Xenopus tropicalis: one gene and its partner. The protein of the gene in region 1 purifies or fractionates together with the protein of each later gene. This does not show direct contact. Links are inferred from orthologs where the notes say so. Each region holds a gene or a part of one and is shown on either strand. Other genes may lie near its edges.

What was found. The genes of interacting proteins can lie anywhere in the genome.
Region 2: the proteins of tepsin (region 1) and isca1 purify together in Homo sapiens (co-immunoprecipitation; 3 studies listed by BioGRID and IntAct, with this or other methods). This does not show direct contact. The link is inferred for Xenopus tropicalis from reciprocal best matches to the Homo sapiens genes TEPSIN and ISCA1.

The regions. Positions count from the first base shown.
Region 1 is NC_030686.2:28,224,955-28,235,479, forward strand, and holds the end of tepsin (AP-4 complex accessory subunit tepsin), read right to left. Parts: intron 9,309-10,525; coding exon 9,230-9,308; intron 7,939-9,229; coding exon 7,804-7,938; intron 7,005-7,803; coding exon 6,531-7,004; 3' UTR 4,706-6,530; downstream 1-4,705. UniProt on the Homo sapiens protein: Associates with the adapter-like complex 4 (AP-4) and may therefore play a role in vesicular trafficking of proteins at the trans-Golgi network.
Region 2 is NC_030677.2:134,911,442-134,922,480, reverse strand, and holds the start of isca1 (iron-sulfur cluster assembly 1 homolog, mitochondrial), read right to left. Parts: upstream 5,304-11,039; 5' UTR 5,150-5,303; coding exon 5,069-5,149; intron 4,983-5,068; exon of another isoform or gene 4,941-4,982; coding exon of another isoform or gene 4,884-4,940; intron 2,890-4,883; coding exon 2,836-2,889; intron 1-2,835. UniProt on the Homo sapiens protein: Involved in the maturation of mitochondrial 4Fe-4S proteins functioning late in the iron-sulfur cluster assembly pathway. Probably involved in the binding of an intermediate of Fe/S cluster assembly.

The DNA of each region.
Region 1 (10,525 bases):
TGGCTCGCCCACTGTATTGTAAAGAAGCTGCTCATGCTTTAATTATTAAAAATGGTAACTAAAGTAAATATTTACACGGAATTCGAGTGACTGTGCCCTCTGCAAACCCTGTTTCACACAGGAACTCTACCTGTCACAGATGTAAATGGGACAAAGCCCATGTAAATGGACTTTTCTAGGAGCCTTAAGGAATTTCTTCCCAGAATCCTGTTATGACAGATGTACATCCCCAACTCTAAGTAATTAATACACAGATACATTTGGTTTGAATAAAAAATATACAGTGCTAGATACATCTAGATATAATGCAAAGCTTGACTGTTAAACTTGTATATGCAAAAAAACTCAATAAAAAAAATATATATACAGTGCTTATTCGTGTAGAACGTTTAATGTATATACACATACAAGTCTGATGTGGAAGTGTGTATGTTGTTATTTATACAGTTACATATTGCTTGTCTCTGTATCTCAGGGTGTTTTCCACACCACAACTGTACAGCACACATGAAGGCTCATTTAACAATAGGGGATTGTTGCAAAGTGCAAAAACCAGGTACAGGTATAGGACACGTTATCCAGAATGCTCGGGACCAAGGGTATTCCGGATAATGGGTCTTTCCGTAATTTGGAACTCCATACCTAAAGTCTACTAAAAAAATCAATAAAACAGAAATTAACCCCAAAAGGACTGTTTCACATCCAATAAGGATTATATATATCTTAGTTGGGATCAATTACAAGGTACTGTTTTATTATTACAGAGAAAAGGGAATCATTTAACCATTAAATAAACCCAATAGGGCTGTTCTGCCCCCAATAAGGGGTAATTATATCTTAGTTGGGATCAATTACAAGGTACTGTTTTATTATTACAGAGAAAAAGGAAATCAGTTTTACAATTCTGAATTATTTGATTAAAATGGAGGCTATGGAAGATGGGCTTTACGTAATTCAGAGCTTTCTGGATAACAGGTTTCCGGATAAGGTGTCCGATACCTGTACCTGCCATGTTTATTACACTTTGCACCCTACCCCACTGTGAGTGCAGGTTCTTGCAGTCCAGGATGGAGCACAAACAACACCTACTCTTTCTGGATGAATATAGCATTGTATTTATGGAGACTGGGAGAGGCACGTAGGCCCCATACCTGCCCCTTAAATTGTGCCTTATTCAAACTCACAAGTCAGGGAGCATCAGAGGGTGCCCCTATGGCAGGGAGTAAGCACAGGGCTGTATATGTAAATATGGTGTATTTACCATATAGTAATTAAGGGCCTGTGCCCTGGGTGGCAGTTTTAGGGAGCAGCCCTCGGATGCCTATATGGTAAATAAAACTTTTTTTGGGAAAATAAAGTCTTTCATGAAAAAAGTCTTGTACAAAATCCAGAGGCAGAGTTGGGGGGTATCTGTGCAGCGCTGCAGATGAAAGTGTAGTCACACACGCCAGTGACATCTCTTTTGCCGTTGAAAAAAGCTAGACTAGAAAGCTAATAATACACAATAAATGTAAAATAAAAAATGAAGACAATATTAAACAGTTGCTTTATTTATGGGCAGTGTTGTCCAACTTCTATGGTACTGAGGGCTGGAGTTTTAAGACCATGCCTATATTAATGGTAGTAGCGCAGCAAAACCCAAATGGTTGGAGCTCACTGTAGGGATATCACCCTTCATTCATATGTCAAAGAAGTTTATTATGTCATATTAAGACACACTCTTAAATCCATATGCCTCCCCTGTGAATAGCACAGCAACATAATTACACACCTTAGGGACCATATAATGACTATTTCCAAATGCTAACAAACTCCCAGAAAAAAACCCTCCTAGTTTCACCTTCCACAGGCAGCATAGGGCAGGCAGAGTATGGCACACATGCAGCATAGGGCCGGCAGAGTATGGCACACACGCAGCATAGGGCCGACAGAGTATGGCACACACAGGCAGCATAGGGCTGACAGAGTATGGCACACACACAGCACAGGGGAGGCAGATTACAGCACACACAGGCAGCATAGGGCAGGCAGAGTATGGCACACACGCAGCACAGGGGAGGCAGAGTACGGCACACACAGCATAGGGCAGGCAGAGTACAGAACACACTGGCAGCATAGGGCAGGCAGAGTACAGAACGCACTGGCAGCATAGGGCAGGCAGAGTATGGCACACACAGGCAGCATAGGGCAGGCAGAGTATGGCACACACAGGCAGCATAGGGCAGTTAGAGTACAGCACACACAGGCAGTATAGGGCAGGCAGTACAAACACTGACACAATGCTGGCACTGCCCCTACAGTCTGTAGGTGTTAACAGGTAAACAATGTGGGCACTTACAGTCTGAGCCTGAGGTGTGAACAATGCAGGGGGATGGGTGAACAATGCAGGGGCTTAAAGGTGTTAACAATACAGGGGTTTAAAGCCTTAAACTGAGGTGTAAACAATGCAGGGGGGGAGCAGTTAATCTCAGTTTACACAAAGTTAAGCAATCACAGCAGCCAGGCAGGTGGGGGGGGAACACAGGAGAGGGCTGCGGGCCGCAAGTTGCGCAGCACCGTTTTTTTAGATTTTTAACAACAAACTTATAAAAACTGAAAATCACAATGCTTTCAGAGTTCTCAAATGGCTTGAAAATGCATGTAAAGCTGTGATTCACAAACATTATCTAGATCATGTCTTTGTAATTTAACACAAGTTTAATGTGTGTAGCCCATGAATTTCCTAAGGTCGGCTACAGAGAATCATTGCAGTGGTTTCGATTATGCACAATTAATTCCTGTGACCTTCTGATTTTGCCCCACAGTGTTACATCCTGATGGCTACTTATTAAAGCTTAGAAAGTCAGCTACTTGCCTTCCCAAACTGACACTTGGAAATGTGAAAGCAGAGAAAATGAATTCAATTTGTTTTAAACAATAATAATTATAATATGTATTATAATTAGTATTAAAAAAAAACAAAGTCATTTTTTTGTGAATGTGAGATTTCATTAAGCAAAAAAAGCACATTCAGCACTTTTCATAGGGCTTCCACTGACTTGAATGGGAAGATGGTAAAATTGCAGGAGTGAGAGCTTTTCATCCAGAAACGTTCACCAGTAAGTCATTCACAGGCCAATAACTTTTGACTATTATCCGGAGAAAGCCTCCATGCAATGCTGACAAGATCAGTTGTTAGTCAGAAAGACAAATATATGCTGTGACATACAGTAGAACCCCCAAGTTTTTTCAGGAGACCAGAAAAAAAATGGTGCAAAATCCGTGAAAATATAAAACCAGGGAAGTTTATTGTGTGTTATATATTAGTAGGACCACAAAACAATAGTGTAAAATGCAGGAAAACTTAAAATCAGGGGATGTAAATTGAGGTTTCACTGTACTTGATATAATTAACTGTGGATACGGTTGGAGTGGCTTAGGGTTAATACTATATATATTTATTTATTTCAATTTTTGTATCATTTGTGTAAATATACAGCAGGATCATATTATAGGGAATACATACCCTACTATAAAACAAGGGATTCTTTCCGTCTGTATATGGATATAGTACACAAACTATGATTATAGTGTTCTCAGGCAGAACTCTGATTGCCTGCCAGCACTTGCTTCTCATTTAAACTAATGGAAATGCTAGAAAAGATACTGGGTGGGGATCGCTCTGGAACTCTGCAGAGCAGCTGTCACACAGCTTGGGTGCCTTAGGCCAGATATGTACTGGGTATATCAGTTTAAAATAATTGCTTTTATGCGTTACTGTTCCTTTAAAATGATAAAGACAAACTTTATAATATAGATTTGTAGAAACCAAAGAGCAGGTCGGTACTGTTGCACTGGCACAAGTGTGAGAGTTTTTCTTAAAGGCCAGATTTGCATGACATATAGGCTGGTGTTGCTTTTAGAGCATAAAGAATGTCCAAATCCAGTTCCTACTCAACAGCAATAAGCTAAACCCTCAAATGTAGTACGTTTATTTTGCACCAACCACCATTAATAATACATGTGAGAAGTATTCTGACTAGTAAGTTACTTGGCATTTTACAGCAACTCAGTGGGAAATAATAGGCCAAAACCAAAAGGGAGCACTGTAAAAATTCATTACTATTAAAAATAATATCTATACACTTGTACTTTTTACTTCTATTAATACTTTTGTAGTATATTATTGCTGAAACATTTACAAATACATAGATGTGAATCATTTTAAACCTAAACAGAATTGCACCTTAACATTTCAAAAGAATAGGCAATTTGGCAGTAGCAACTCTTTAGCTGGCCATACAGAGAGTAGTGTGGACAAGTAGATTCACTTGCATGGGATCAACTGCCTAAACATCACTTAGAGGATTTGTAAACATCTGACCTAAGGGCTCTGGCACACGGGGAGATTAGTTGCCCGCGACAAAACTCCCTGTTCGCGGGCGACTAATCTCCACGTGTGCCAGAGCCCTAAAAGTGTTAGGATTCCCAGTTCCCTTGAGATCTGCTCATCCAACAAATGGGGGTTGCAATACAACTGTAAGGGCATTGACACGGAGCTACCTGTAGCCAGCTACAAAATAGACAATACTGATAGTTGTCTCTACGTGTGTTTTAGCAGAGACTATTCTCAGTATTGTCTATGGCAGAGTATTTTCTGGCATTTGTAGCTGCTACAAGTGGCACCATGTGTCATTGCCCTTAAAAGACAATGGTTGCAAATGTATGTATATCTTTATTTATAAAGTGCTACTTATGTATGCAGCGCTGTACAGTAGATAATACTTTAGATCAGTGTTATTGTTTTAGCATTAGCAAATGTAAATATAAAGGGTTCCACCTACTGACAGAACCTGAGTTATGTTTTGTGATATGCGTTGGTTATTTCACCCATTTCTTTAGTGTGTTATAGCAAATCACAGACAAGGTGGCCTGATTTCCAAGCAATCCAGTCATTCATGCTGAAGGGCCAGTAACATCAAAGATAACATATACACAAATTAAATACAATTTACTATTACCTTGCACTGGAACAAACTGTGTTTGCTTCAGAGGCTTCAGTATAGTTTATATAAATATGCTGCTGGGATTTTCAAGTCAAAACTGGGCTTTTAGAGCCCACATTTACATAACAGATAATAGATACAGTATGTAGAATACAATAGGAGATATACAGGGGTCTAATGACATTCATGGATTACCACAGGACCATAGAATGAAAACTTTTCTCTTGCAAACTAGTTTACTTGCAAGTACTGGATGTACATAAGCAAACTTTAAAGAAACAGTAACACTAAAAGTCAAAAATCCATTCTACTCCCCTCCACTAACACTTCCATCCAGGACAAAGTTAAATATCTTTAAAGTTATACTTAAATCATGTGATAAAATGCATCTTCCGGCTGTGTACCGTGTTTTAAAAAGGTTAATGTGGCGACATGCACTTACTTGCGGGCTCCAATCTTATGCTAGCCGACTTTCTTTATAAAACAGAAAGTTAGCTGCTCCGGGTTCACTGAGGATTTTCAGCCTGCCATGTTCTCCCTTCTTATTTGAATTCATGCCACATTGAAGTTTGGGGAGACAGGGTGTATGGCTAGTATTATTTCCTCAGTGTCATAAGACCTATGTCCTATGGGGAGATTAGTCGCCTGCGGTTAAGTCTCCGCTACCAAGGGCAACTAAATTCCCTGATATTCCTCCTGAAGGCAACTTCGTGCAACTTTGGAAAACTAAGCGCAACTTATGCCTTTTAAGGAGATTAGTCGCTTGCGGTAAATGAGATTAATTGTGGGCAACTAATCTCCCCGTGGGCTGTGAACCCAAGAGCAGCGAATAGTAAAGGCAGCAGCCAGGCCAGCCAGAGAAGACCCCAACAAGTCAGCACGCTCATCCTCCTTCCTTCACTGCTCCAAATTTTTAGTGAAATAAATCACACTGACGCAAAGGTGGAACAGAGCAGGTTGATAATTCTCTTAGAAGCTGGAACAACTGCGTTCCGGTTTCAAAAATAATGTCGGCTAGCAGGAGATTGGAGCGCGCACGGAAGTGCATGTTGCCACATAGCCCTTTTAAAAACACAGGATTATCGCATTATTTATGTATAAAACATTAAAGATAATTAACTTTGCCCAGAATAGAAGTGTTATTGGAGGAGAGTGAATTTTTTCACCTATAACTTTTTAGTGTCACTGTTCCTTTAAGTCCCATGGCACATTGTGCATATTCTCCACTGGGAAAAAGCCCCTAAAAAATGGCTTGCAACCTGTCATTTAAATGAATGCAATTCTATTCTAGTAAGAGACACTTGCCGGCCATATTCAGACACTTCTTCTGGTGGATAATATGTCCTGTGCCAAGGGCCTACATATAAAAAAATGCCATTACAGGTCTTTTAATTGATCACATGACTTGATTTTTGTCTTTGTGCAACTCCCGATGAAGATATTTATTTACACAGAAAACATTCTGTATTCTCTTGCTCTCATGCTTGTCAGTCAGTCTCTGTCAGTGCTTGGGGCAAGCCCACCTGGTGAAGGTCACAAGTTGCATCAAGTGTTTAGAAATGAAAACACAGAGGGCAGGGTCGGCTTAGATGGTTCTTCTTTTACAAGTTCAACAGGAAGTTCTTGTGATCCGGTAGCTTCATTGTGACTGCATCGTATTGGTCCTACCAGTTCCATGCCTTCAAACAGAGACACGTGTATGCTTGTGCTTTTGTGATTACCAGTCTCCTCACATTCTAGCTCCCTTGTTTTTTCAACTGGATCACTTTTCTCAGAGCTCCCATTGTGATCTTTCTGGTTTTCAGCCCCATTCGGTAGAGAACAGACAGTGTTCTGGACATTTAAAGTAGGTGATGAGGGTACACTTAGTGGTGTCAGTAAACCACCCCCCACAGAATGAGGAATAAAATCGGTGAGTACATCCAAGGGGCATCGTGTGTTGGGAGAAGCCACAGTCCCATGGTGCGAAGATCCTCTTTCAGAAACATTCTGAGTAAGTGCTTGAAACTGAAGCAGAATCTAACCAAAAAATCAAGTTTTGTTATATTGGAACTCTGCATTATAAACAGGTATTAAAGAAGAAGGAAAGGTAAAAACTAATTAATCTTTATCAGAAAGGTCTATGTAAATACAGCCATGTATGTTTTTCTGTATCAGACTTCCTCTCTCAGAAAAATCCTTAATTCCCAGGTCCAGAGTCTGCGTAGCTCTCTCCTCTCCTGTTCCCCCCTCCCATAAGAATTCATAAAACTCACTCCCCCCACCCTTAGAAATGTGTAATCTGAGCTATAAGGGCAAGAGCTACAGCAGGAAGCTATGAGGACCAAGCTAAAATGGCAGCTGCAATCTTAAACAAACGTAGAGAGCTTCTAGGGCTCTTTACTCAGGTAAGGCAAAGCTATTTGCAGAATATATATAGTGTTCTAGGTGGCAAATATATTGGTAGTAAAATGCCAAAATGACTTTCCTTCTCCTTTAAATGAACTTAAACATATGAAGTGTATCTTGTAATGTCTAAAGGAATATTATGGACAGGTGGTCAGTGTACAGATGGCAACTGTCAGACGAGAGGTTCATGGTAAACTGTTCCAATGAAGCATGCAAGCATAATTTATACATCTACCTGCAGAATAGCTTTGGATGGAATGGTCGCTATTTTACTGCCAGCAGAGGTAATCTGTCTTGGCACAACACATCCAGCACTAATTTACCCTGTGTCCCCTACTGATATATTATTTGCCATTATTTTTTTTTTCTATATAAAAGGGAAATCATCAACAGTGTCACCAAATAAGGCAACAGCATGCTATCTCCTCACCTTGGTGGCCTTGTTCTTCACTGGTCCTGGAGGTCCTTCTCTTAATTTTTGCAAGTTTTTCCTCACAACAGCTAGCATGTGTTCATGTGAGAGGAGGTCAGAGGCCATGAGGGAGGATACTGCACACATGGAGCGCTGCAAGTAGAAAACACTGTTAAGAACTGGCTATATATAATCTGTAATACTCATGCATTCTGCATTTGTATTAGTAGAGCTAGTGAATCAGCCTTCTCCAGAAGCTTGGATGGGGGCAAATACTGTAATAAGCCACATAATATTAAAAGAAGAACTAAAGCCTAACTAAAGAAGTAGGGTAGAAATGTTGTACATTATGTTTTGGGCTTCTGTACCAGCCCAAGGCACCCACAGCCCTTTAGCAGGGAATATCTGTGCCTCCAAAGATGCCCCAGTAGCTCCCCATCTTCTTTTCTGCTGATTCACTGCACATGCGCTGTGCTGCTGGCACTTACCTGAGCTTAGGGAGTGACTCACAATATACTGTTTATATAGAATATAAATGTCACAATATAAAGCTGATCAGGAAATAATACAGATAATTAGTACTTGGCAGCTCTGAACCAGTGCAACTCCAACCTTTATGACAGACAAACCCAATTTTCTTCTTGATATTTTGTGACAATCCCTAAGCTTAGCTTTTCAACAGCTGCCCAGAGCCCACTGAGCATGTGAGTGCCACAGACACTTCTAAGAGATTTCCGTATTGTGACCCCCTGTGACAACTTTAAAGGACTGGTTTATTACTACTATAGAGATGTGGACCTTTTAAGCTTGTTCAGTATATAAAATATGACATTTCTATCCATATTCATTTTTAGTATTTAGTTCTCCTTTAAAAGGAAAGATTGGAAATATACTGTATCACAGCATATTAATCTCCTTTCTCTGTGGTACATGAAATGTCACTGACAATGTCCAAGTTTCAAATTGGTATCAATTGCAGTCAAAGAAACAGATAAGAACAAGTTTTTTTTTACAACTTATATAAGAGTATAGGAAAAAGAAGGAAAACACAGGTAAGTATAACAAAGTCTATGAGGGGAGCCTTAACAGAAACACTGTGGCATGTAGTATATGGGGCAGGTGCAGTTACTTTGGCTGAGTTCCGATCTGTAGTTGGACCTATTGGGATTAGGTTTAGGTGGTTGAGGGGGAAACTCATCTCATCATCCCAGTATTACTTCTCGTAGCCAGAAGGGAGTATATTGGAGGCCAAAAGGCCTCATGCATTGTTTTTAACATGGTGAGCTCCAGTAGATGGATTCAAGAAAGAACAGAATTACTTGTGAACAAATTGTGGATTCCACAGCTGTTGCGCCCCCTTTTGTTACAACTTCGCTTAGAGTGAACACTGGCTGCAGCAAGACATGGAGAAGTGAGTGAGAAGCCCACGTGGTCAAAGACATACCAATTTGACGCAGTTGTTGTCATCCATTAGTGAGCAGTTTAACATCTCAAACACCACTTCACAATTCAACAGGGAACATCTGGAACAGAGATTGTAATCATGTAAGACACAAAGCCTAACAGAAGACAACAAGCATCGATAAGCACAGACACATTACTTCACCTATTTGTTCTAGAGGAATTATAAGAAGCCAATAGGGATTTAAGGTATGAAGTGATTGCGGGCAAGGTCGAACAAGGCCAAAAATGGCACTTTCCATAGCAGGAAAAAATAAATCCAACTGAATATCTGAGTTAGCTATACATGGAAAGATCCACTACCCTATATGCCCACCTGTGGCAGGCAATATCAGATTGATCTGACCGTTCAGCAATTGGATCACATTGATTGGATGCAGGCTGTCGGAACAAGGACCGCATCAACATGCCAATGTGCTGTTCACCCTAATGGGATTTTTACATCTGACTGATAAACTAGATATTAGCCTGTCTGATGGCCCCATACATGGGCCGATAAGTTGCCGACTTAAACCTTTGGCAGATTTTATCGGCCCGTGTACGACCACCTGTACAAGGGATAAAGTCTTTCATTTTATTTTATGGCTCTTTTGGTCTGGTCAGGGTGCTCCCCAAGTCCATCAGAATCTGCATATGTGTAGCATACTATTCTTTTCAGCCTTCCCACCATTATTACTACTGCAGAGTCCAGTTTCCTGTACAAGTTATACAAGTGTTAGTCACTAAAATGTCACAGCCTACAGTATTGCTAAAGCTATTCAGAAGCCGATACAATACAAAGCAGTGTTAGAAACAAAAACAAAAGTGAAGCTGGATGCTTAGTGCTTGTGCTTCTAAGGATTTTTTAGAGTATAAAATATTGTTAATACATATGCTTTACTATTCCTGGTTTTGAGCTCATCTTCTATGTATTTTCCCTTTTGTATATGTAGATAGGAATGTCTGAAGTAGAGGGGGCCCTGACATTGCAATACCCTGTCTGGGGGTAGGAGAGAATAATATTAATTGGGGTATTCTGTCGGCCTTTGTCCTCAGCTCCGAGTGGCTTTGCTCACTCACTGGGACCAAAAAGTGTATCATTTTTTCTCTTCAGAGTACACAGATGATCATACATGTCTATTACAGTGTTGTCCAACTTATTACATGTAGGGGGCAATTATATTGAATATAGCATGCTAGAGGGCCAGATTAAGTTAAAATGATGATGTCATATAGTGTCCATTGAGTCTCTAAACAGAATGGAGGGCCACATCCGGCCCAAGGGCCTCCAGTTGGACAG
Region 2 (11,039 bases), on another chromosome or scaffold:
GATAGTTTGATTTAATACACTGCACTATATTCTTTTTATTTATTTTTTTCTGTTACCTGTGCAGCTCTAAGCCCTAATCTGCTCATATATTTAATTACATTAAGTAAAATATGCATTTTCAGCACTGCAACAGAAGGAGCAAGTAAATATCAAATTATGCTTAAAAGAATATAATTCATTGTCTAAGTGTGTCAGACACATTATAGATTATATATAATGGGGATGAAGACAGCTATCTGCTTGGGTGTACTAAAAAAAAAAACTGATATTATATATTACCTTATTTTTATATACAGGTATCAGACCCATTATCCAGAATGCTCGGGACCAAGGGTATTCCGGATAAGGGGTCTTTCTGTAATTTGGATCTCCATACCTTAAGTCTACTAAAGAATCAAGAAAACCTTAATTCAACCACATGGGATTGTTTTGCATCCAATAAGGATTATTTATATCTTAGTTGGGATCAATTACAAGGTACTGTTTTATTGCAACAGAGGAAAAGGAAATCCAAAATTCTGAATTATTTGATTAAAATGGAGTCTATGGGACACGGGCATTCCGTAATTCGGAGCTTTCTGGATAATGGGTTTCCGGATAAGGGATCCCATACCTGTACTGCAATAAAGAATTCCAATCATATGAAACTTTTTATCTTTTTTTGTTTACATTTGAGAACACGTTCACAGGGTACTTAAGGATATAACAATAAACAATAAAACAATCCCTGAAAAGGGACTGCAAAAAAAGTAAAATATTTCAAGACAGAAAAGAGATAGAAAATAAATACAGTAGAAAGATCAGCATGCCTAATTTCAGTTTACTAGGTAAAGGTATTTACAAATCATTAAGGAAGTGGTAAAAAGCAGAACTGGCCATTTACAGTAGTTTCATATTTGCTGCCATGTAATGAAATCTCTTAACATAATTTAGGGTATGAGAAGAACTGAGGAACAGATTTATCCATTACCTTTTAAGAAATCACTAGTGGAGGGCTATTTTTTTTTTACATTAATTGAAATGGTTATTTTTGCGATATGGCATTCTCCTCGTACTTATAAACAAAGCTAGCCTTTGCATTTTGGTTTAATTGCTCCTGTACAATATATTTAGTTACTAAGCCAATACTCCACTACAATAATGTTTCAGTTCCTTACAGAGCCAAGATCATGTGCAGCAGTGTACCATTCATCTTGCACACCTATGGATATAATGTTTGTGGAGCATATTATTTAAAGGGTGACAATCACAAAAATGAAAATTTAATATAAGCTTCATCTTACTGAAATAAGAAACTTTCTAAATATAATCAGTTAAAAATTCTGTACGGTGTCTGAATTAAGTTTATTTTAACTAGGCCTCTCTCAATCTGTTTCTCATCATTGCCTCTCCATGCACAAGTTGGGTGTTAGATTTTGATTGACAGATCCAATGTATCTTTTAGGAGGGCTAGGCCTAGCAGATGTATTAGAGCTCACACAAATAACTGATTCCAACAAAAACAAAATAACCAACTTTGGCACAGATCCTGCCTGTAGACAGGATTTCTGGTTATTTTAAATGAGTGAGCCAACACATCTTCTAGGCCAGTGCTGTCCAACTTCTGTGGTAACGAGGGCCAGAACTTTTCTGGTCTACACGGTGCAGGACCGATAATGGAAGCCAGTTTTTAGGCGTGAACAAAGCAGGGGGTGAAAAATGCAGGGATTAAAAGGTGTAAAAGGACAGGGGATTACGTGTTTAAACAATACATGGGTTTACAGCCTGAATCTGAGGTGTGAACAGGGGGCCAGTTAATCTCAGTACTGATACAATTTAAAGCTTACACAAAGGTAAGTAGTCACAGCAGCCAGACAGGTGGGGGGGGGGGGGGGGGGGGGGCACCAGTTGGACAGCCCTGTTCTAGGCAAAAGGAATACCCCCAAAGGCTATATTAGACCTAACTGTTATTCAAAATCAGACTCCTAGCTCCTGCTTGAGTAGAGAATTTAGAAAGAGAGATGCTGATAAGGAAAGAGTAAACAGCAATGTTATTATTTCAGAAACAGGTAAGAATTTGTAACTGATTATATTTAGAAAATGTCTTATTTTAGTATGATGAAGCCTATATTATATAAAATTTTCTTTTTCGCAATGTATACTTTGTATACACAATGTATACTGGCCAATGCCATGCCTATACGTGCTTTGTGAGGCAGAAGTCAGCAGATCAGGGTTTTTCCCCGTGCATACAGCCCACATGGCCTTTAATAAGACACAATGGCTTGGAAAAGGGATATAGTGGGATGACAAGATTAAAAATTAAAATGTGATAAGCTGTTCTAAAAACCTTTGTAACAATTTGTTTATCTTCTAACATGCATCTTTCTTTTGTTGTTTTTTTCTGCCAGCTAAAGGCATTAAAGATCTAGAAAATCCAATTTCACTAAAGGGATAAGGCTAAAGTTACTGAGAAAGCCTGGTGAGATGACAGAGTGGCACTGGCCACTGCAGGTTTTACTTGAAAAGAAGCGCTACCCTGACTTGTGGATTTCCTTGTCCTTTAATGTCACTGCTAAGCCACAAGCAAAGATGCAAAACACTTTCAAACATCTGCCTTTTCCAATATTTTGTGTAGCCGAGCAGAGGCAAAAGCTGTACTGGTCAACAAGAAAATGGATCTGCTTCTCTCAGCCTGCAAAAAAACCCAGGCTCAGAGCAGCGGAGAAAACACTGTGTGCCCTCAGCCTCCAGCATTTCTTTTGTAAAAGACTGTGATCTAAAATGTGACAAAAGGGCACAAACACTCCAACAACAGATATGACAGACATTGGTAAAGTAAGCCACTATACTTACATTGTCAGGTTTATCTTGAAGTAACTTTTTAACCTTATTGACAGCAGCTGGGGTCTAAAAATAAACGGAAAAAATGCATTTAAACAAAAGCTTGTTGCAAGCAAGTTGTCTTCAAAACACGTCAGTTAATAGAGCTTCTCCAGAAAAACCCTGCATTGAAATCTGTTTGTTAAAAATGCAAACAGATCTTTTTATATTATATTTAATTTTGAAATTTCACATGGAGCTAGTTATACTCTACATTTCTTAGGGTGAAGAAAGGTAAGAAATCCAAGTCCAGCTTAGGACTCCTCCAGTTACATGGGAGTAGGAAAAAAAACAATAGGTTACCTGAAAGCAGTTCTAATGTGTAGTACTGGCTCTTTCTGAAAGCTCAGACTGAGGAACAATGCACTGAGATGACGCCTACACACCAATATCACAACTAAAAATGCATTTGTTGGTTCAAGAATAAAATTTTAAATGGCAGTGAAATTATTTGCTATGTAAACAGTATAATATAGAAATAAAAAAGTATACCATAAAAATCATGACAGAATCCCTTTAAAGGAGACATAAAATATAAAAATTATGAATGTACCAGTGAATTATACTACTCTAGATATAGAAGGATTGTGCTTAAAAATCGTTGTGTTTCAGACTTATTTATTGAGAAATTCCACTAAACCCCAGTAGTCCCCCCACCTGTGCCACGTCCTGCTGGCTAAATTCTCTGGATGTGCAGGGGAGCCAGCAGCTCTGAGTAGACTGCACTGTAGGATAGGATCCAATCAGCAGCTAGGCTGACCTGATAGGGAACTGAAGCCTGTCTTTGCTTGTGTGACTGCAGGGCTGTGATTGATTCCTATTATGCTTCTGGCTGGGACCATTAGGACATGCCCACCTTTCATTTCAAACACGGACATAGAACTGATAGGATCTATAGGGAGCTCTAATAGAAAGGCCATTTTTACAGTTAAGATTAATTTTTAGCACAAAGTGAAACTAGCACCATATATTATTCATAATTGCCAACAAAATGAGTGTTTTTCCCATGTGTCCAATATGTCTCCTTTAAAGTAACAATAACACATTTTACATTAAACATGGAATTTCTCAACACATTTAGGAGCATATATAGCATACAACAATGTTAATATTATAGGTGGATTTTGGATAAATATCATTATCATAGATTTATAGGGCTCAGGCTGCAGATCTCTCCCAACTCTCTTGACATCCTTCCAGGCAGCTCCTGGACAAGGTGAAAAAGTTTGTATCAGTCTATGAAATTATTGGGGGAGGGGAGTTCTGGCCTGGACTATCATGGTTTCCATTCAGTCTGTGGTATAAGGTAGTCTATATAAGTCAAACTGAGCTGTACAATCAACTTAGAAGCCATTTTGATCAAGTTTTCCTATAAATATGTTAGTAACCGAGAAAGCATGATTAGTTTAATCATCTTTTTTTGTGAACTATTTATTTTTTTAAGTTGAAAAATAAGGTTTTTTTGTCTGTTAACAACATAGACTGTCACCTACTAAAATCTGTATAAATTGAGCATATTTCTTCACTTTTAAGATCGCAGGAGAAAAATGCATTTGTGCAACTTTGTTTTTACCACATTTCTGTTGTATTTATTCTGTATTAAATACCAATATGCATACACAAAGTGTCTTTGTCACTATTAAAGAAGCATGTCATGTTCAAACTCCCCCTCTATGCTCAACATAAACAAAAACTGCAGTTTTGCAAGCATTGTGCCATGTCACCACTAGCCAGCAAACAGCTAAAACAAATAAATATATGCATACAATAAAAAATGAGGAGTTGGCTATCTGGTACCAAAGGCTACACAATCTTTTTATTTTTTAAACTCTCACAGAGCTTATAGGCTCTCAAAAAAATACTTATTGCACGTTTTACATCACTTCCGCCTCCAAGAGTGACGCAGCGCGCAAAGTCTATCGGGTATTGTAGTTTAAAGCGACAATCAACAAACTTGTTTTCAATGCCCTTGCTTTTGTCCCCGTACAGTTGTCGTCCTTGCACATAAGCAATTGCCTTACTGTTTGTATCAGCGCTGCCTCATCGCACATAAACCATGTTTCTCTTTCAAACAGCATACACGCATTCCCACACGCATTAGTACTGTTCTGTGCGTCCTTCCTTTATCAGCCCAATACCCTCCGCCACAGTCTCTTAAGTTATACGCAGTAGCGGCCTTTACTGGAACCGTACAACGGTCACTCACCAGAGTGAGGGCAGCTCTTGTGGGCTGCAGCTTCCTCTTGCTTACAGCCCTGATAGTCGCTCTCACTACTGAGGCGGACATGCTTGTGTTCTCCTCACGCTCCTGCCCATAAGAGCAGGGCCCAACGCACAGCTAGGTACTCACACACCGGAGCTGCAGAAGCTTTCAGTAGCAGCCAGACTCCTCCCACTCTGCTGGGTTTCTATTGGTGCTGAGTCGTGCAGACCTAGAGCATGGAAGTAATTAGGGAAGCTGCGGAGAAAGTATCAGTAATTAAAAGGCAGTATATACACAAGATAATGTAAAAGTCTATTAGAAGTCTACAAGGATAAACGTGCTCTGTACCCATAGGCGCAATATAACTATCCGTCTTGTAGCTAAGAGGCTACTGTAGTAGTTTTGTATATGTTTAGAAAAGGTCAGTCCAGTTGGAGGTTGAAATCCCAAGGACTTTTTTTTACAGTGCCCAAGAGCCTTAAATAACGTGTACAGCAGTCTGGTGTGACTTCTAATGGTCTTTTACCTTTTAGTGGAGATACACATAGGTGGGGGGTATTTGCACCCCCTGGGGTTTCCTCCTCAAGCAGAAAGTTCCCTAATGTATGTATGTTTCAGAGGTGCAGCAGCTGGCAAAGAGAGGCAGAGAATCAGCAGTTGCTGAACTGTTACGTTAATGAAGTTTAGGGCTGTGGCACACGGGGAGATTAGTCGCTGCGCCACAAATCTCCCTTGTCGCGGGCGACTAATCTCCCAAAATACCATCCCACCGGCTAAAACGTAAATCGCTGTTGGGATGGCATAGGTGGTGCGGCGATTTGGCGACCGCGGCGCCGCATATGCCATCCCACCAGCGATTTACATTTTAGCCAGTGGGATGGCATTTTGGGGAGATTAGTCGCCCACGACAAGGGAGATTTGTTGCGCAGTGCAGGGTCGGACTGGGACACCGGGAAAAATACCGGCAGCTCAGACCCGGCCCTTGCCGGCGCTCCCCCTGCCCGACTGTTGCTCCCCTGACGCGTTAAATTTACATGCACGTGGGAGGACGTTGGTTGGGGGGCCCTGCGAGGGGGTTTAGCGGGGGGACCCTGGCGCTGTGACTAATCTCCCCGTGTGCCACAGCCCTAAGATCCATTAACGTAACAATTCAGCAACTGCTTATTCTCTGCCTCTCTTTAGCAGCTGCTGCACCTCTGAAACATACATTACATACGTAGCATTACTTACATTATTAAATTGGGCTGAAAAAATAATACAAAAGTCAATCAAGTTCAACCACTCCAAATGAGTGCACATATATACATATGTTAGAGAAAACAAAACAAGAGAAAAAGAAGTGTGCTGAATCTTTATCGTATATACACAAATTACGGCATGCACAAGGTGTTTTCCACCTGAAAGATACTAGAATAACAAAAGAATCGTATATACACAAATTACGGCATGCACAAGGTGTTTTCCACCTGAAAGATCACAAATTACGGCATGCACGATTGGGCACAACCAATCAGGGCCCGTCATTCTTTTAAGGGGGCCGGAGACGGCGGGCCGGATTGAAAGGGCTAACGGGCCGGATGTGGCCCGCGGGCCGTAGTTTGCCCACCCCTGATCTAGAGTATCTTTACATACTGTATATCATGATCTGTAGGAATGAAAATCTTCATAAAGGGTAAGTTATGCTCAACTACTACATTTAAAACTATTAGGTGGGGGTACAATAAGGCTGTGACCACAAAATACATCTAGACCACAACAAGAGGTCCTCTGCATTCACCCATTATACATATATATAGGGCATTAAGACATTGCAAAAATCCAAAAAGTAGGAAAAAAGCTTCAGCAGATTTACTGCAAACCATTTATTGTACACTTGATAAAGGGTATTGACCCGAAACGTGTCGTGTTACCACTACCCACAATAAATGGTTTGCAGTAAATCTGCTGAAGTTTTTTTCCTACTTTTTGGATTTTTGCAGTTGTATTTGGTTGCAGCACAGAGCAACAACTAGGAGCTAAAGCTTTTTTCGTAAGTATTTTATACAAAGTTCACCAATCATTTTTTATTTTTGGACATTAAGACATTCTGTGCCTTAAGCTACCAAGAGATACCCTCCCCTTTAAGCAAAACAGAGATTATTTGTCCATATATTGCAATATACTTCAAGCCAACTACACTTATTTTTATTTAATTATGTTGGGTTGAAAACCCCAACATACTGTTCTTCGACTTTAGCTTATTCTCCCGCTTCTTCTTCTTATTCTTAGCGCCCCCCATTTTCTAAACGCTACTCCTCCTACAGTTTTAGGGGTACAACACCCAAACTCCCCACACTTCTTCGCCCTATAGCGGAGCAGGTTGCTTGTGCTTTTCTAAGCGGTTGTGCCCCCCGTCTTTTTGTGGCGCCGCTCCGAACCCCCCAATTTTCCCATTGACTTTGACAGGGAAGATTTTCAAACTGCTGCCACACTTACAGCTTTGAAGCTACACCCCCAAAACTTGAATAACATAATTATGGGATCACCCCGAATGAAGCAGCAACATTTGTTGGATGACCCCAAAGTGGGAGGGGCCAACAACAGCCAATCAAATTTTAATCATTGACTTTAATAGGGAAATTGAAACTGCTGCCACACTTACAGCTTTGAGGCTTCACTCCCCAAACTTGAATCACATAGTCAGGGGGTCAGCCTGAATGAAAATAGGATGATTATTGGATGCCCAAAAGCGGGCGGAGCTGTGAACCACCAATCAGATTTTACCTATTGATTTGGTGTAAATTCAACCTGCTGCCATTCTCACAGTAATAACGTTGGGATCCCCAAACTTTTTACACTTGGTCACTAGGGGACTGCAGTTTAAATTTTGAAAAGTGGGCGGAGCCACCAACAGCCAATCAAATTTCACCTATTGATTTTTATTGGTTTGATGCCAGATTTTCCAAACTTTGCACAGTCAGGCACTGGGTGACTACGCATTCAGGTTTCTAAAAAAACAGAACAGCAAAGTGGGAGGGGCCAACAGCAGCCAATCATATTGTACCCATTGACTTTTATGGGGAAATTGAAACTGCTGCCAAACTTACAGCTTTGAGGCTACACTCCCCAAACTTGAATCACACCGTCATGGGCTCAGCCTGAATGAAAATATGATGATTGTTGGATGCCCAAAAGTGGGTGGAGATGTGAACAGCCAATCAGATTTTACCTATTGACTTGGCAGAAATCAAACCTGCTGCCATTCTCACAGTAATAACACCGGGGTCCCCAAACTTTGCAGAGTTAGGCACCAGGTAACTGTGGTTCAAGGTAAGAAAAAGTGGGCGGAGCCACCAACAGCCAATCAGAGTTTACCTATTGACTTTTAATGGGGAAATTCAATCTGCTGCCATTCTGACAGTATTAACACCAGGGTCCCCAAACTTTTCACAGTTGGTCACTAGGGGACTGCAATTCTAGTTTTGAAAAGTGGGCGGAGCCACCAACAGCCAATCAGAGTTTACCTATTGACTTTCAATGGGGAAATTCAACCTGCTGCCATTCTCACAGTACTAACACCAGGGTCCCCAAACTTTTCAACTTTTCACAGTTGGTCACTAGGGGACTACAGTTTTAGTTTTGAAAAAGTGGGCAGGGCCACCAACAGCCAGTCAGATTTCACCTATTGAATTTTATTGGTTTGATGCCAGATTTCGCAAACTTTGCACAGTCAGTCACTGCGTGACTTTGTACTCAAGGTTAGAAAAAGTGGGGCCGCCATAAGCCAATCACATTTCTTTCATTGTTTTCAGTGGGAAAATTTTAACTGCTGCCCTTCTCACATGTTTAATGTCAGGGTCCCCAAACTTTGCACAGTTTGTCACTAGGTGACTATGTTCCAAGTTTAGAAAAGTGGGTGGGGCCAACAACAACCAATTAGATTTCACCTATAGACTTAATATGTTTAAATTTAAACTGTGGCCATTCTTTAAATATTAATACTAAGGTCTCCAAACTTTGCCGAGCTAGTCACCCGGTAACTGCAGTTCAGAGTTAGAAAAAGTGGGTGGAGCCAACAACAGCCAATCAGATTTTACCTATTGATTTTCAATGGGAAATTCAACCTGCTGCCATTCTCACAGTATTAACACCAGGGTCACTAGGGAACTCCATTTTTAGGTTTTAAAAAGTGGGTGGGGCCACCAACAGCCAATCAGACTTCACCTATTGAATTTTTTTGGTTTATATTTAAAATGTTGCTTTGCTCACACTATTTATGTCAGGGTTCCCAAGCAAGTGGGAGGAGCCACCAACAGCCAATCCATTTCCACCCATTAGATTTCATTGGTTTATATTTAAACTGATGCCATTATTTAAATATTAATTCCAGGGTTGTTAAAGTTTCCAGCGTTAATCACTGGGTATTTGCCATTCAAAGTTAGAAAAAAGTGGGCAAAGCCACCAACAGCCAATAACATTTCACCTATTTACTTCAATGGTGAAGTGTAAAATGCTCTTAGCCTCACAATGAATGCCTGAGTCCCCAAAATTTGCAAAGTTGGTCACTGGGGGACTGCAGTTCAAAAATAGGAAAAGTAGGTTGGGCCACTAACAGCCAATCAGATTTCATCAATTGAATTTTATTGGTTTAAATTTAAAATGCTGTCATTCTCAAACTATTTATGCCAGGGTGCCCACTGTTTGTCACTGGGTGACTTCGACTCAAGGTTAGAAAAAGTGGGCGGAGCCACCAATCACAATTCACCTATTGACTTTTATTGGTTTAAATTTTAATTGCTGCCGTTCTTTAACTATTAATCCTAGGGTCCCTAAACGTCGCAGAGTTAGTCACTGGGTAACTGCAGTTCCAGATGTTGTTGACTTTCAGTGGGTAAATTTAAGTTGCTGCCATTTAGACACTATTACAACCAGGGTCCCCAAACTTTGCACAGTGGTTTTTACTGTATAACTGTGGTCCAAGGTTAGAGAAAGTGGGCAGAGCCCATTTAGTGACTTTATGTTTTTCAACCCAACATGAAGTTTGTTCTCAAACTTCCCTTTCTAGTTCATTTCTACTGCTTCAATATACAATTCACAAAGGGACTGCATTTTACCTGCAACTTACTTGCTTTCAAGGTTACCATTGCCCGTTGATTGTCCCTTTTATTGCACCTGACCGTAGCTGGTTAAGAGGATCTGGATTTTATTTAAAGGCTAGACAACCCATGGGAAAGAACTTTAAGTATAATGTTCCCTGCTTTGTATAAACTATTGGCTAAAGTGTATTTTTTGAAAATAGTATTTTTGCTACATATTCTAAATAAAAAACATACAATAAACAACATAGTTCCATTAGAGATATACTATTTTCTCTGATTTGCTATTTAAAAGTTATCTGTGATTGGTGTTTTTAGATTTGTTTTGTACCATTCCAGCCTAGGATGTTGTCTATATAAATACTGTATTTCTACTGTAATGATCCAGTTTTGTGCCAGTCTGCTGTCTCTGAAGGATAGATCAACTTTGTATGTAGCTTTCATCTATTATCAAAAATGGAATTTAACACATTTGCTTTTATGTTCTGGTTCTATCAAACCAGAAATTAAAAAGGTTTCCAGTGGCATTACTACTCTATGCTGTGCAAAAAAATCTTGAGGGGCCCAGCGCAGGCCCCCCTCTCCCCAGGCCCCCCGGGGGTTTGGGAAGGGGAAAGGGGGAAAACTTTACTGCTGCAGTGCAGCAGTAAAGTGTGACTGAAGTTTACCAGAGCACAGGTCACATGGTTGTGGCACCCTGGGAAATTAAGAATATGGCTAGCCCCATGTGAAATTTCAAAATTAAAAAATATGTTTTCCTATGACAGTATTCCTTTAAACATAAACATGTGCTTTGAAAGAATGGATTTCATTCCGGACAAGCTCTATTAACTAATGTGTTTTGAAAAAAAACATGTTTTCCCATAACAGTATTCTTTAGTTAATTTAAACCCCATGAT